Linked DNA regions of Mus musculus: regions 2 and 3 are each reported to be linked to region 1. Evidence: microRNA targets listed by miRTarBase, many of them from high-throughput screens and not tested one by one. Region 1 holds a microRNA gene; each other region holds the end of a gene's coding sequence.

What was found. The annotated mature microRNA mmu-miR-450b-5p reads UUUUGCAGUAUGUUCCUGAAUA and lies in region 1 at 2,477-2,498, shown strand. An mRNA with a match to its seed (bases 2 to 7 or 8) in the 3' UTR can be bound and repressed. Matches are read on the target gene's strand: a 7mer-m8 pairs with bases 2 to 8, a 7mer-A1 pairs with bases 2 to 7 and ends in A, and an 8mer does both.
Region 2: miRTarBase lists Sgms1 as a target of mmu-miR-450b-5p. Seed matches in the 3' UTR shown: 7mer-A1 at 1,303-1,309.
Region 3: miRTarBase lists Ammecr1l as a target of mmu-miR-450b-5p. Seed matches in the 3' UTR shown: 7mer-A1 at 2,366-2,372 and 7mer-m8 at 3,594-3,600.

The regions. Positions count from the first base shown.
Region 1 is chrX:53,045,201-53,050,541 of GRCm38, reverse strand. It overlaps Mir450b (microRNA 450b), which reads left to right and starts at 2,464; the gene lies at 2,464-2,545. It overlaps Mir450-1 (microRNA 450-1), which reads left to right and starts at 2,298; the gene lies at 2,298-2,388. It overlaps Mir450-2 (microRNA 450-2), which reads left to right and starts at 2,175; the gene lies at 2,175-2,243. Mir542 (microRNA 542) reads left to right here and starts at 1,055; the gene lies at 1,055-1,139.
Region 2 is chr19:32,119,737-32,125,077 of GRCm38, reverse strand. Sgms1 (sphingomyelin synthase 1) reads left to right here. Exons shown (of 10, transcript NM_144792.5): 10 at 554-2,351. The coding sequence ends at 733. Among named protein-coding and RNA genes, the nearest start is that of Asah2, 19 kb to the right of the region's middle.
Region 3 is chr18:31,780,360-31,785,700 of GRCm38, forward strand. It overlaps Ammecr1l (AMME chromosomal region gene 1-like), which reads left to right. Exons shown (of 8, transcript NM_153515.4): 8 at 285-3,724. The coding sequence ends at 396. It overlaps Gm26533 (predicted gene, 26533), which reads right to left. Exons shown (of 3, transcript NR_165792.1): 2 at 5,191-5,341; 3 at 875-2,163. Among named protein-coding and RNA genes, the nearest start is that of Gm26533, 6.0 kb to the right of the region's middle.

The sequences.
Region 1 (5,341 bases):
CCCTCCGCCGCACTCCCCCCCTCCCGCTCCCCTCCCCAGCTCCAAGTCGGGGGCATTGTTGGGGGCTGGGAATACTGCTTGCTTTGCAGCCTGACTCCTTCCTTCGGGTCTTTTGCTACCCCTCCCCCACCTCCACTCTGCAGAGTGAAGGCAGAATGTTTGTGCCCTAGAAACCAAATCTTTACAATCCTCATCTCAGCACTTGCCTTCATTTCCTCTGTTCACTTACGGCCCCAACTGCTTTCATAGATTTGTTGTTTACAACTTTGAGAGATAAGTAAGGCAGACAAAGTTTCGAGAGACCTGAGGATTCTGAAGATGAAACCTGGGAAACTGCATCATGCAGACTTCATGCTGTGCCAGGTAACATTCCTGCCTGGCCATCAGAAGCTTACACCATAGTGATTAGGACAGAAAATGGAGCTGAACTAGTGTGTTTGGTTAGAAAAGGTCTAGTTGAAACTGTCTAGTCCTAAGAAGGACGAGTGAGAGTCTAACTGCTGGACACTTCCTAACTGAGGCTCAAGATTGACTTCATGATTAAGTAATGACTGTAAGTCACCTACCCATGCATGATTCAATGTGTACAAGCTTAAAAATTGTAAAGTGAATTCACTTTAAAGCTTTGATCCTTTCTATAGACTCAAGTAAATTAAGGGAGCAAATATGAACTAACCATAGAGATTAATTTAGTGGCATCCTCAAAAGAACGTTTTTAGTCATTGTGAATAATCATAAAAACTACCTAGAAACTTAGAAACATTCTTAAGATAACAAGCTTTTAAAAATCAAGGCCACAGAATTACACTAACTCTGGTGGCTGAAAGTAGAGTAGAAACTGGAAAGAAACTGCAAAACAAAGAGACTTTTTAAAAACAGAATTTGTAGTAGGTTGGTTAGCTGCTTATTTGTTTTGTTTTTTTTTCCCCATCTTCACAGTTTTGCTGTTTCTTTGTTTTGTTGTGCTTTGATTTGTGTCCCATTGTGAAATGCTACTCGCTAAAAGGTCTTTAAGGGTACTGGGAGATCCAGAAATTTGAGGTTACACATGCAGGGATCTCAGACGTCTCGGGGATCATCATGTCACGAGATACCACTGTGCCCTTGTGACAGATTGATAACTGAAAGGTCTGGGAGCCACTCCTCTTCCTAAGAATTGGTGGGGTGAGTATTACAGAGATGAGAGGTCAGGAGAGGACTGAGCCCTAGGCAAGGAGGAAAGGGGTTGCCATGGAGTGGGGGAGGGTATGGGTTGTGTTTTTATAGAATGAGAAGGGTTTTATTAATTTGCATTTCTATTCAGTCCACTGAAGCCTAGACAGGACATATGGTTTTATATATAGGCTAAAATATTAAAACTATGTTTTTCCTCAAACAAGAAAAACATTAGCTGTAAGCTTTAGAAAAACAGGTTACCTTAAAAATGTGGAGTCATATAAATAGCCATGAAGATAAATATACAAGCCACGGAAAGTCACGGAAAATGAAAAAACATCAGGATGTTTATTACTATTTATTTATTTATTTATTTATTTTTGAGGCAAGATCTTATGTTACCCAGACTCAAACTTGTGTAGCAGAGGCTCATGTTGAATTCCTTCCCCTCCTAATTCCCCCTCCCAAGGGCTGGCATTATAAGTGTATGCCATCATACCTGCTTGCAATTCTTTTTTTTTTTTTTTTTTTTGAGACTAGGCCTCACTAACTTGCTCATGCTGGCTTTAAATCACTCTCTAGGCCTGCCAGGAGGAATCTGCATCTGTGGCTCATTTGCCTCACCATCTATGTCACTGGGGTTACCACCTCCCTTCACTTCAGTCATTTTGAGGATAAAATGACTTATTAATAGTAAAGGGTTGCATAAATAAAATATGCTCTTCTAAGACAATGTGATAGGATGCTATCATTAAGATTGATATTTCTGAAAATAATTTTTGTGACATAAAGATGTGCCACAAACACTAATAAAAAGCGTTTAATGATAAACATGCAAAATATTTTCTTCTCCGTTTTAATTTTACATACATGGGATCAATATACAGATATAAGGCTAAGAGAACAGATCAAAATATTATAGTTATCCTGAGTTGTGCTTTAATGTTATTGAACAAATATGCTGGGGACTGATGCTGTGGTTGAATGATAGAGGAAGGAGAAAGGCAAACCAAGATGCTGAACTATTTTTGCGATGTGTTCCTAATATGTACTATGAGTATATTGGGGATGCTTTGCATTCATGGTTCTGCATCCATCATATGGACAGTCACCTCCAAGCTGTAGCACCACCAGTGACCAAAGAGAGATACTGAGCTGTTTTTGCGATGTGTTCCTAATATGTGCTATAATTATATTGGGAACATTTTGCATAAATAGCTTTGTGTCAATACACAGGCAAAAGGTTGGAAGAAAGAAGCTGCAAGTCTAACCATAGTTGTTTATGGTTTGTTTTTATAATAGGAATCAGATACAGAATTATTTTTGCAGTATGTTCCTGAATACATAACATAAGCGTATTGGGAACATTTTGCATGCATAATTTTGTATCAATATATGGGGGGAAGACTAGGAAGAAACATGACAAAACTTGAACAGAACTTATGTCTCTGGTATTACAGGTGATGTTTATTGTTGTCTTTATATTTTTATTGTTTTTTTTTACCAATTATTGTGTAAACAAAATGTTTTTCTTTTATAGCAAAAGAATAAACTTATTTTATTTTAGTACTAGAGTCTACATTGATTTTGGAGGGTGGGGTGGGACTTGAAACAAGGTCACCTAATGTAATTAACTGTGGCTATAGCCTCAGTATATAGTGAGGCTGGCCTCACTCTCATAGAGAACTAGTTGCCTGCCTCTGCCTCCCAGAGTGCTGGAATTAATGGCAAGTGCCACATACTTGGCTTTACACTGATTTTTTTTTTTTTTTAATCGTGAAACCCTGACCCATGTATAGAGAAAGATTTCTATGCAGGCAGTGGTTGGCCTAGACCACACTTTCCAACTTGTCTAGGAAAAGCCTACAGGACCACCATAAGGTCTGCCCTTCATACGTACATGTGCGCAAAAGACTCAAATACACTTTTTAAAAACTGATAATTATATTTGAGTTTTCGGGAGGTAGATCCTTAGGAATCTAACTGAATTGGGGAGCCCCAGGTCCCAGTGAGAGACCTTGTCTCAAAAAACCAAGGTGGGGATCTCTTGCGGAATGATATCTGAGGTTGACTCCTGGCCTCTATGCATTCACACACATGTCCAAGTATAAAAACACATTTACACACACAAACATCACACACTAAAAGAAAGAAATAAAATAAAAACACAACTGTAACGGCCAGGTGTGGTAGCTCAAGCCTTGTAATCAGAGCTCCAGGAGCTGGGGGAGGGTGTTTGCTCTCACTCTGTAGTGAGAGCCTCTCTCAAACCTCTGGGTCCACACAGAGTAATACCAGTGACTGCTAAGCAGACCGATGGCTCTTATCTAATCAAACACTCTAAACACAGAGAGAGTTGAAAGGGGCTTATTTTCTCCCAGGAGCAATTCAGGAAGGTGGCACTTGGATGATTGCTCCTGGCCTCAAGACACACTGGCTAGTTTGGGAAATGCCTGAGCCAGGGAAAGACCTTCCAGAAGGCCCACTCATGAATGACAGATGCCAGCAACTGGCTGTAGTTCCCCATCTACTGTCCATCCATCTAAATCCCTGGATGTTCCTTTGAGTACAGGAGACCTCCCAGTTCAGCTTTCCCTCTTCTTTCTTAGTAAGAGAGATGGAACTATATCTGGGGACTTAGTACAACCATGGTTTGACTGGTTCCTCTCAGGAGTATTTTTGGTTTCTTGGGATTTTGTTACTGTTGTGCCATTTTATTGGCATTTGTGGGTATGTGAGGTGGAGGGCTATGTGCACTCTGACTCACTTGTGGACATCACAGGACGTGTGGGAGTCAGTTTCCTCCTTCCACCATGTAGATTCCTGGGATTGAACTCAGGTCCCTTAGCTAAGGGGCAAGCTCCATTACCCACTGAGCCATCTTGCTATCCCCTCCTAAAGGCTTTATTAATGTTTCTCAGATTTGACACATTAGAAGAGGAGCTAGAGTCCACTCTGAGCCATTTATAAACACTCCAGGAAAACTCTCCCCCAAGAGCTAAAGCACTGTAGCAAAATCCGTATATTCCCTCAAGCAGACCTAGTGCAGTGGGAGAGATGCAGTCATTCACAAAGGTACTGGGAGATCATTCATCCCACAGAGCCTCACGCCCCACCCGTCTGCTTTAGAGCAACCACACAGCCAGACATATCCTTGGCAATGGGTTTTTCATAAACATTTGACTCTGCCACATTTAGTTAGAAACATTTTTCCTGGGAAGGGAGGATAGGAGAGAAGTGGGAGTTAAGATGAACCGGAGCCAGAGAGACTTTGGATGCACAAATCCCTTGCTCTGTATGGTTGAAAGCAGAAATAGGCAGGGTCTTGTGACCTTCTTCCATGCCAGGCCCAATCTCACAGAAAACTTCCTTCTACCCTGAATGATGAAAGCGACCTCCTTCCACATAAACCTCACTCTGGTCCTTGCTAGGCAAGGATTATGAAAAGGGAGAAGAGCCAAGGTGGGACCCTTCCTGAAATGGGAAGTCTCACCTCTGGGGCGGAGAAAGTAATAACTCCATCAATTTAATCACTGAGCTCCAGGCTCTCTCATTTAGCAGTGGACTAAAGTGGAGACTTGCATTTCCGAATCAGAATATCCTAGAATGTGGCGGATGGAGACAGCATGCCTCTTAGTTGGGAGGATGCCAAGCGGCCCCCGGAGTGGGGGTGGTGCAGAAGGGGGGAGGGTTTCCCTTTCTAACAAACCAGTCCTCCCTCGGTGCTCAGAAGAGGAAATGCAGTTGCAGGGAGAGGAAATAACTCCCAGCTAAGTCTTGCAAAGAACTGGTGGCCAACTTGAGTCTTGATCTACAGGCCTTTTTCTACTATAATACACTGGACCTAAAGGACAGACAGGGGTGACTTTAGAAGACAGTGGGAGGCATGTGGGACTTGAGGAACACCTTCAAAGGTGGGTGGGGCTGGAAGGGCCAGAGAAAATGAGGGAGTGAATTTCAAGCAGAGGAAGATGACAGGGGCACAGGCAGAGGCAGGAACAGATGGCTTCTGTCACAGAGCAGTCAGGAGCGTCTGGAGGAACCTGTCAAGGACAAATCCAGTTTCCAAATTCGGGCTGGGCTATACCCTGAGGGTGGAACTGTATCTTGGGGAGTGGGGAGTGCAAAATGCCCCCAGAAAACGATGGCACGAATTCCCAGAATGCAGACTTGATTCAGTAGTGAG
Region 2 (5,341 bases), not on the chromosome of region 1:
CTGGCTTTTATAGCACCATTCCTCTGCGGAGCCAGTGTGTAAAGTGCTGATGTAATTGACACAGATACCACTTTCTTCTGAAACGTATGTGCTTACTATCTGTGAAAAAAATAATCTCCAAGATGGTATCCGCACTTACGGTGCATTCCTAACCTTTGGTTGTGATGGGCCCATCACTAGTTTCATAGTTACGTTTAACTAAGGTATTAAATATATTTTATCTATTATATTTATATATGTTATATTATTATAACATTTATAAATATACATTTATTATATAGGAGCACAGGAAGTTAAGATCCAAGGAGAGTGAAGAAAGGGCTGACTGAGATATTTAGTAGGTACAAATTGAGGGCGTCTCAGTTTCCCTTGCTCTCCTGGAATCTGACGTGTCCAGGGTATAGTGTGGTGAACTCAGAGTGAAGCCCGGCTGTGTGGGTGGGTGTGGAGCAAGTCTGGGATCCTTTGAATTTTAACATGGGAAATATTTTAAAGGGAAGACAGTAAGATTGAAAAACAAACAAACAAATGTGTATGTTCTTTGCTTTCCTAGGTGCTTAAGGAAGCCTCCCAGATGAACCTCCTGGCCAGGGTGTGGTGGTACAGGCCATTTCAGTACTTTGAAAAGAATGTCCAAGGAATTGTACCTCGATCTTACCATTGGCCCTTCCCCTGGCCGGTAGTCCACCTTAGTAGGCAAGTTAAATATAGCCGGCTGGTAAACGACACATAACAGCTCTGCCGACTAGGGAATGAAGAACAGTCCGAAGTGCTAAGAACTCCATGACAGAAGATGCCATAAAGTAACCACCTCCCCCTGCTATCTCTCAAGTTACCTTGACTTAACCTATTGCGTTACCTGCTCAGCACTGTGATCTTTTTTTTTCTCTCCAAAGGACCCGCGTTGGACAACAATAAAGAAAAGTTCCCACATCATGCACTGTAGACATTTCCTGTTGTTAAGCTTGGGGCTTCTATAACAGGCAGCCACCGTGTCCCTCTGTGTCATTCAGCCGCACCACCGTGTGCTTCTGTATCCTAAGCTCCGGCCTTTCCAGCCATATCTGGAAATAAAGTGTGTTATTTTCTTGGGAAAACATACTTTTCATATCTCTTGCCCCAAAGACAGGGCTGTAAGCCATTTTCTAGTAAATGTCTCTATGAAGGGTCCTAAGTGTCTGCATGGGAGTTGATTTAGAATCTCTCTGCCTATTGCACTGATGCTCGGCTGAAGACGATAGGTCCAGAGAGGTTTGCTCGCCTGGGGTTTTATACAGTCAGCAGAGACGGTGTATCAAAAAGTGCAAAAAAAAAAATCTGTTATAAAGTGATTTTTCTAAGTATTTCCTAACTTTATTTTTCAAAATGATGTTATGAAAACCAAATTTAAAGATTTTTACATGTCACAGAAAAGAGAGTTAACATTTAAAAGTGCTTCTTGGGAGAGAAATTTGTCTATGTTTCTAGTGCCTTTCTTGTCTTGATTGTATGGTCGGTTGGTAGGCAATCTTAAATGTTTTTATTTATTCCATGAAAATATAAATGTATGTATACACTACTAAATTTTACATTTATAGCTAAATTAAATCAGAAGACTGCTAGTGGTTTTAAAATTGTTTTGAACTGAAGAATAGAGGGTGTGAATTAGAGTACGCACCCATTCACATATTGTGAGCAGGCCGCACTGCCAGGTGCCGCTGAGATTATGCCATCTGTTTGGTAGTTTGGTTTTAACTACTCAATAAAAACAGCCATGAATATCTTTTTTTAAAGAGAGTTTCGAAAATGATCACTTACCTAAAACTTGAAAGCTATAAACTAGTTATCCATACTCTCATGACAGTTTTGTTGGTGAACAACAACAAAAAGATCTATTTCTTTAAAATATATTTGTGCAGAAACTGCATGTAATTCTGAGTTTTCCTCCTGACATACATATGTTTGGGGAAGTATTCTACTCTATACTTGCCAACGTGGAGAACAAAATAGTTTTCTAAGAGCGAAGAAGTATATATATATAAATATAAATATAATATCCATTCTGTATTTTATGTGCAGCAGGATTACCTTCTGTAGGTTTTTTTGTGTGTGTGCACATGCACAAGTGTGTGTGCGTGTTCATGTATGAGTGAGTGTGTGTGTGTGTGTGTGTGTGTGTGTGTGTGTACTCACAAGGTGATATTTGTATTGTAAAACAATAATGGTGAAGGAAATAAAAAGGCTTTTAAATTTTTGTTTGTTTTAAATCTTTGTAAAGTTATTATTCCAGAGAGTATACTGATATCTTACAACTTACCTAAATCATAAATTAATCAAAATGCACTTTTTAATAAAAACTTATACTGAAAGTATGTGGCTATTATATTGTGTTCATCTTCACATAAGTCAGGAAGCTGTTAAATCAATGTAGGAAACCAAGCCCCGGATCTCTTTAGAGCTTGCTTGGCCCAAGTCTTTATTAATCATCTACCTCTCCATGCAGGACTTTTACAATGTATTTTAATTATCAAAACACCCCTGCATGTTTTTGTTTTCCAGTATGTAAAAGGAGCCACAGATAAGTGAAAACCAAGCTGTTACCACTGAATTCTGCCAATAACTGAATTCTCCAGTTCTCAACCAAATCGCTCACTTTTTCTCTGTAATGGAAACAGTGTAGCCTTTCCAATGGAGGGCTGGGGAGGGTCTGAAAGGACCTGAAGTGCGCCATGTGGACAGTTCATGGCTCAGCAAACTCTTCACAGATAAAGATGGTACTAATCCTCGATTTAAAGCAAGGAAGGGCTTAAGAGAAGTGGCTTCTTGTCTGTCAAAGGGTAGCCCCGGAGAGGCAGGAGTGGAGCCAGTAGCGCCTGACAGCGGGGAGTTCGGAGACTGTGCCTCCCAGGCCTATGTGATGAAGTCTTCCAGCAAACCTATCAAAATGCCCCACCTGGCCCATCCTCACCTCCCTGGGGTTGGTGTTAGCCAGATGCTATGTACTGAAAAGGAAGCAGGATGGATATCGATATGAATTACCAACACATGTTAGAAACGGGCTCTTACCCCACCCTCAGGGTTTTTGTTGTGGTAAAGGAGTGGTTCTTAATGCTGCAACGCTTTAATGCAGTTCCTCATGCTGTGGTGACCCCCCACCAGAAAATTATTTTGTTGCTGCTTCATAATTGTAATTTTGCGACTGATAGGAATCGTAAATATCTGACACACAGGATGTCCCTGCACAGGTTGAGAACTGCTCTGGTTGAAGCCTGAGCCAGGCCCTTGGAAATAATACACCAGTAGCTGTTCCCTGCCCTACCCACCACCATTTCTAAGACGAGGGTTTCATGTAACCCAGGTTGGTCTTGAACTCCTAATCCATCTTCCCCGCAATTTCCAAGCACTGGTGTCACAGGTACACACCACTCCTTCCTTCCCTGGCCTCTCTTGTAATTTTTGTTTTGTTATAGGGCCTGAAGTTGCCCATGCTGACCTTGTACTAACTGTATCTCATGGAGGCTTCAAGCATGTAAGACACTTTTGCTCCAGCCTCCAAAATAACAGAAAGGAGTATGCCTGCCATTATGCCTGCTGAAACTTAAAATGATTATGTTAAAAATGCATACTTAGGAGTTTATTTGCCTTGTATGTGCCAGGAAATTACCTTGTGTGGTTTATACAAGTATATACTGTTTATTGAGCAGTACACCCCTGTTTCCTCTATTAAGGCCGTTTGTTCCCCTAGACAGTTGTTTCATTTTTATACACATATATGATTCTATGTGACTACAAAATCTAGGAACACAAATGAGAGAGAGCGCGTGCTATTTCTCATCTTCAAACAGGCTTAATTTGCATCTACCTGCTGCAAATCCCAAGGAACACAAAGAGCAATGTTGTATCCTGAAGGCAACAGTACAGGATAAAGACAGGATAACCACCTGCAGTTTCTGCCCTGTTTGATGAGCTGAATCCCTAGAAAACTGCTACAGTTATTTTACTTGTGAGTTAAGCATGCTACATGTGTTATCTTGGTAACCCTCATCTAACCACAACTGTCCCCATTTTATGAGTAAACCAGCCAGTGACTAAGACCAGAGGCACATAGGTAGTAAGAGGAGTCCCAGGCAGTGCTGTAAGGTATACTGAATGTGGGAGCAACCTCTGCAGTGGGAGAAACCTCTGCCTATGGGAGTCAGAGTAAGTTCAGGACTGTTAAAATGGCCTGTGTCACAGGAGGCGCAAGGGAATTTCACCAGTTTGCTACAAATCATGTGTTTTATTTGTGTCTGAAGCACATACCAGGCTTGATCAGTTTGATGTTTCACAAGCTGGCTTAGAACCACATAAAACAAGAATTTATGCTACTGAAAGTTGACACCCACCCCCATTATACAGAAAGTCAACAAGGTTTTGAATTCACTCCAGATTTGTATGCTATGCAAATCACTTAAGAACCTTTATCTTTCCCTGTGGTCAGGGACCTTACTTAAAGAAAGTAGAACTCTTGGCATTCTGCTTATTGTCAGCTCTTTCAGAGTACAGGTTAGAAGGAACTTATGTGACCCTTGTCATCAAATAAATTTGATCTCAGTAAACCAGCTAATGCCTCCTTTAAAAATATATATTTTGTCAGCATAATAATGTGTACTTGTAGTCCCAGATATCTGCTCTTGAGGTTGAGGCAGGAGGATTATTTCAAATCTCAGAATGCCTTGGTAGCATCACTGAGAGTTGTTTCACTTAGTCAACGGTCACAACCACTCAAGAGCATTACCAGTATCCCCTTAAGCAAGCAGTTATCTTTTAGCTCAATTAAGAATTAAGAAGTAGGGCTGGAGAGATGGTTCAGCGGTGAAGAACACTGACTGCTCTTCCAAAGGTCCTGAGTTCAAATCCCAGCAACCACATCTTGGCTCACAACCATTCATAATGAGATCTGATGCCCTCTTCTGGGTTGTCTGAAGACAGCTACAGTGTACTTACATAACATAAATTAAGTAATCTTTAAAAAGAAAAAAAAGAAAGAAAAAAAGAATTAAGAAGTAGAAAATTAAGAATCCAAAGACTGTGTTCATCTTTATGTACTGGTGTGCTTTATGAAGATACAAGGTTTTTGTTTCATGTTTTGTTTGGTTGGTTTGGACTTTGGTTTTTTTTGAGACAGGGTTTCTCTGTGTAGCCCTTGCTGTCCTGGAACTGGAGACCAGACTGGACTTTGAACTCAAGAGATCCACCTACCTCTGCCTTCTGAGTGCTGGGATTAAAGGTGTGCAGCCATGCCTGGCTAGTTTCTGCACTCCATTTTCACTTAGCTTGCAGATCAGGGTAGCTGGTGGTGAACTCCTTTAGCTTTGGCTTC
Region 3 (5,341 bases), not on the chromosome of region 1:
CAGATTGCTTACCAGCAGCCTGTTGATAAGCATATGTAGCGTTTTGAGGTGGGATGTGCTGAGATGCATTCTCAGGGCTGAACTGTGGTTGTGCTTTCTCATCGTGTCCATTTGTAATAACAACGTCATTTTCTTGTGCCGTCTTTTCATTTTCTGTAAGATTGCTCTTGGTCTTCCATTTTATTCTTTGGAACTGTGGGATAAGCCTTTAGTTTTCTCTACTGAGTGACTCTTGACACTGAGATATTTGGGCTTCTTAACACTTTGCCTGTTTCCTCATACAGGTATCGAAGTGAGAAGGTGACAATCAGTTATGCAGAGTATATTGCTTCTCGACAGCACTGTTTCCAGAATGGCACTCTTCATGCCCCGCCCCTCTACAATCATTACTCCTGACACACGGCTACATGACCAGTCCCACCCCCCTGTGGCCACCAATGGCTATGACATCATTGGAGCAGATGCCTCCTCTTCCTGGTCCAGTTACTTCTATTACTGCACCATTTTATGATGCTAGCTTCCGTTGCCAAGTCTGCCTCCTGCTGACTGGAGGGTGTGGGGATACATTGAATGCAACAGAACATGAGGGGCCCAAGCCTTATATCAGCCTTTCCTCAATCTGGGGTTCTGTTGGATCAGGGCTCCCCAATAACCAGTGAGAATGGCTGTGTGGGTTCAGAAGACCGTTGTCTGGTGATTTCCCACAAGTATTGGCCACACACTGAAAACTGGAATTGACTGTGACCCATGGAGGCTTCTTCCCCAATCCCCCACAGCCCGCCACATCAATTAGCTGTACTCCCTGGCAGTCTGGGCAACGGAGACCAACAGGAACCACTTTTAGGTTGTTTTAAATTCCTTTTTTTAAACTTCCAGTTTATTGTGTACCAAGAGTTGATCCACAACCTCCATGCTTCAGAAGTGAACACCATGTTAGGGTTGAACATGGGCACCATGAGCCCCTGTGAGTCCTGGATAAGATTCTCAAACCAAGATCAGAAATCCTGTGATGACATTTCATCGTACAGTAAGCTGTGAAGGTTTTCATGCTTACCCGACTCTCAGTGGACATTCTGGTACTCTTCCTGCATTGAGTCTCCTGCTGTGAGCTCTGTGGCATAGCCTGCTGAGGAATGGAATGGAGATGCCTATAGAGGTCCCAATGTCATCGTCGTAAGCAGGTGTGAAAGGAGAGATCTCTTCCTCACCACCCGGCTACCTCAACTCTTTTCTGGTAGCAGTGCCTATGTAGCTGCATCTAGGTTCTCAGAAGCACAGACATGTAAACAGGTGGTTGGGTTGGGCTTTAGGACATACTGTCACAGGAGAGCTTCCAGGGTCTCTGAGCTGGTTTTCTTCACAGGCAAACATCCTGAGGGACCTTTAAGTAGGGGAGTTCTTTATTCTGATTTGCCTGCAGAAGTAGGAAGACTTGCTATATCAGTCCTCAGTAGGACTAGAACAATGCTGTGTAATAAAACAAGGTGAACCTTTAACTTGCCTACCATACTGGGACTCCTCACTTCACCAGTGCAAATGTCCAAACTGTTCGTGTTGCTCATTTAAACTCTTGACATTCCCGCTCCCATCTTTACTCATTCCAAAATAGCTGATAGCAAATTCTTTTCATTCATTTGGTGGCAAAACGTGTAGTACTAGGAAACTAGGGAGGTGCTTTGACAGCTCTGTCTCAAAGGCACTGACTGCTCAGGCAACTCAAAGGAAACGGCCGGCTGGAAGAAAGGCTCCTGAGGATGGCGCACTGGTTTTCAGCAACATTCATAGAGACTCGGGAGGCAGATGTGGCCTCAACCTGGTGAACATATGTTTTGATTTCTTTTTTTAGGATTGATGTGGTGATGGTGTGGCTTTCCAAAATGGGCAAATATTCAAGTCCTAGCTCATCAGTTTCTTGTGCCAGGAATGGAGGAAGGGAAGTAGATCTACTTCCATATGTGCTATTCTAGGCATCACTTCAAAGTTCTTGCGGTTTTCATTTGTTTTGTTTTGTTTTAAAACTGGGCAGAGAGGTTGTACCAGGAGTGATGACAGACCTGGAATGGATGAGGGAAGTGCTGATGACATTGGAATGCCCAGGATGCATGGCCCTTACTGCCAGGGTGGGTTCCTTCACATACCTAGGATGAAGGGGTCTCATGCTGCCTGCCGAGGGGAATGAAGGCTATGTTATTGACATGTGACAGCAGGTGCTCTCAGGTGCCATGGATTGATGCAGGGTGCTCAGCTCTGGACTGAGGTACCCACTTCCAATTTGTAAAACAGTATTGATACATAGGGCTACACTCATTACTGTTCAAGCGTTCTATGTTAAGAGTTGTTTAATTTCTAAAGATTTAAAGCAAAATGCAAAAAAAAAAAAAAAATGGTGCTAAACTTCACCCCTGAGCACTCAGTGAGACTGGTCATGCAAGCATCTACAGTGCCATGCTCCTCAAGCCTGTTTTTCTTGTAGAAATGTTGCCCTATCTTGTCTTTCCCAATGTATAGTGTGTGTTTTGTTTTATTGAGGGTGGGGTAGAATACTTGCCATTTAAGAAAATGACAGAAAGACCCAGAAAGGTGGGGTTGGGGAATCGGTAAACAAGAATCCAGCTAGCAAGGCCCAGCATCACACTGAAGTGGGCTCAGTGGTTTCAGAGTGAAGTCGCCTTACTCCTGCACATTCCCTCGTGCTCCCAATGCAGTTCTGCAGTGCAAATGCTCAAGTTCCTCCTGCCTTGTCAAGGAGACCTGGAAATCAGCAAGGAAAATTATTTGCCCCAAAAGACATGGGCTCTATTGGTGTCAGTCCTGACTTGAGCATAGGCATTCACAAGTTGAAGTACAGTCTTGGTCACCTCATGGGAACATGTGGCAGATAGCTCTCAGGAAAAAGCAATTGTGGATTGTCCACTTGGGGGCTTTGCATAGGGAGGTCAAGCTCTGAATTAGAACTGAGCTGCCTTCCATACGTTGACCAAAGCAGTGATAAGGGTGGCCAGTTAGTGGTAGTGGAAAGGGACCGTTTCCTGCCCTGGGTTTCCTTTAGCTATAGGCTGCAAGGTCCCCACTGCTCTCAGAGAGCCAGCTAAACTGCTGGCTTGGTTTGGAATTTGTTTCATCCCTAGCTGTGAGTGCCTTTTGGTCTGGAAAGTTGGCTTGTCTCATCATACCCACAGCTAGGACATATACTCTGTAATTATGAATTGTCCTTGTTTTCCTGAGCTAAAAGCGAATGTCTTTGATCATTAGAGTTTGTTAGTGTTGGGTTGTTTCCACTGTGAGGTTCTTAAAATGTTTTTGCTTCCTAATGTTAAAATAACTCATGTTAGAAACCCTGTACACATGAAAAAGGGTTTGTAGTTGAGACATTACGTATATTTTACTGTTTATAATAAATCATCTATACAAAAGTCTTGGGTGTTAATTTTAATATTTTGAGCAAAATCTGTTTTCCATGCTATGTTAACATCTACAATTTCACTAATAGTGTTACTTTCCATTGATTTCTGAAGCCTAGAAAACTGTTTTTGTGTGTTTTTTTTGTTTTGTTTTGTTTTGTTTGTTTCCCCGAAGAGATTGTATGGCCTTCACTGCAAAGACTTCAGACCAATTACTTGTATTACACTTGGTTGCCTCGTGGCTATATAACTTCTGAGTACACGTCATCAAGAGTCCTGAATGAAGTATTGTAGAGAATAAATCATAATGGACAAAAACTGTCTTCTGCCTCTGTGTGACCACCTGACTTGAGTTACTGGAAACAGATTTTCCATTATTTTGTTTGATGTCCTCATAAGAGATTTGTCTGCCTCTGCCTCACAACTGATGGGAATAAAGAGATGGGAAATAAACCCATCCCAGTGAGAGTACCTGTTAAAAGATTCCTATGAGCTAGGTAGGATAGAGCCATCCTTCAATCCCAACATGGGAGGGCTACAGTGAGAGACTGTTTCTTAAAAAGCAGAATATCAAAAACTATAGGTGAGATGGCTCAGCCCATGAAGGATGTTGCCACCAAATGACCTTTTCACCTTGCAACACAATATAGTTGAAGGAGAACCACGCTGTCCTCTGCCTCTATATATGTGGTCTGGCACAGACACACAAAATAAGTGGTGTGATAAAACCTTAAAGATTCCTATCATTTGAGATTAGAGGTGCTTAAATATGTGGTATGAAGTTGTCCTTTATTCTCTGAGGTTAACGGTGCTAATTCTTGGTGAAAGTAGGGGTGATTAGATACTTTTAAAGCTCTTTCCAAACCTAGACATGGTAGCTCAGGTCTGTAACACCATGATTTGGGGGACAGGAAGATGGACAAGAGTTCAAAGCCAGGATGAACTGCAAAATGAAATCTTATGCCCCATCCCCATCCCTGCTCCCCCCCACCCCCCAAAAAAACGTTGATTAGTGGCACATGCCTGTAATCTCCGGCAGAATGACTGCTGTGAATTTGGCTATAGAGTAAAGCAATAGTCATCTACACTGGAGAAATGGCTCAATGGTTAAGAGCATTTCTTACTGAGGATCTGGATTTGGTTTTCAGCACCCACATAACCATCTGTAATTCTAGTTCCAGGGGATCTGACACACTCTTGTAGCTTTCTTAGAGACTGCACACAATATACTGATATACATGCAGGCAAACACCAGGACAGGTGTCTCATGCCTGTAAAAACCACCACTTAGAAGATGCACAGACAGGCAGAACTTTGAAAACTCAAGGCCAGCCTGGTTTACAAAATTGTTGGAGTGTCAGCTAGGGCTACAGAGTGAGAACCTATCTCAAAAACACAATTCCACTCCAGACTCCTGGCATGTTAAATGGAATTCAAACTCCAGGTTTATGATTGTATAGTAAGGGTTCTTAACTGTGGAGAGCCATGTCTTTAGCCCTAGCCTGTTGGAAGTTCTTTAGCCAAGGTCCAGTACACAATGCCAGGGCTGGATGGCTCTCTAGCCACCTGGATTGTCATAATGTTGTATATAAAGTGGGATTGTGGGAAAATGGCAAACCCTTTATCACAGTAGTCCTCAACCTTCCTAATGCTGTGACCCTGTAGTACAGTTCCTCCCAACTATAAGATTATTTTCAGTGCTACTTCATAACTAATTTTGCTGTTGTGTCTGTAGTGGCTATTCCTGATTGTCAACTTGACTATCTCTGGAGTGAATTACAAGGCTCACCTGTGATTCAGATCTTGAGGCTGGAAGACACAAGTTTCTGACCTGGATCTTGGCATGGAGCTCTTGCGGCACAGTGGCCATGAAAAGCTTAGGCCCAGGCAAAGTAGGAGGCATGGAGGTCTCTAAGTTCAGCTTGGGACAAAGCAAGTCC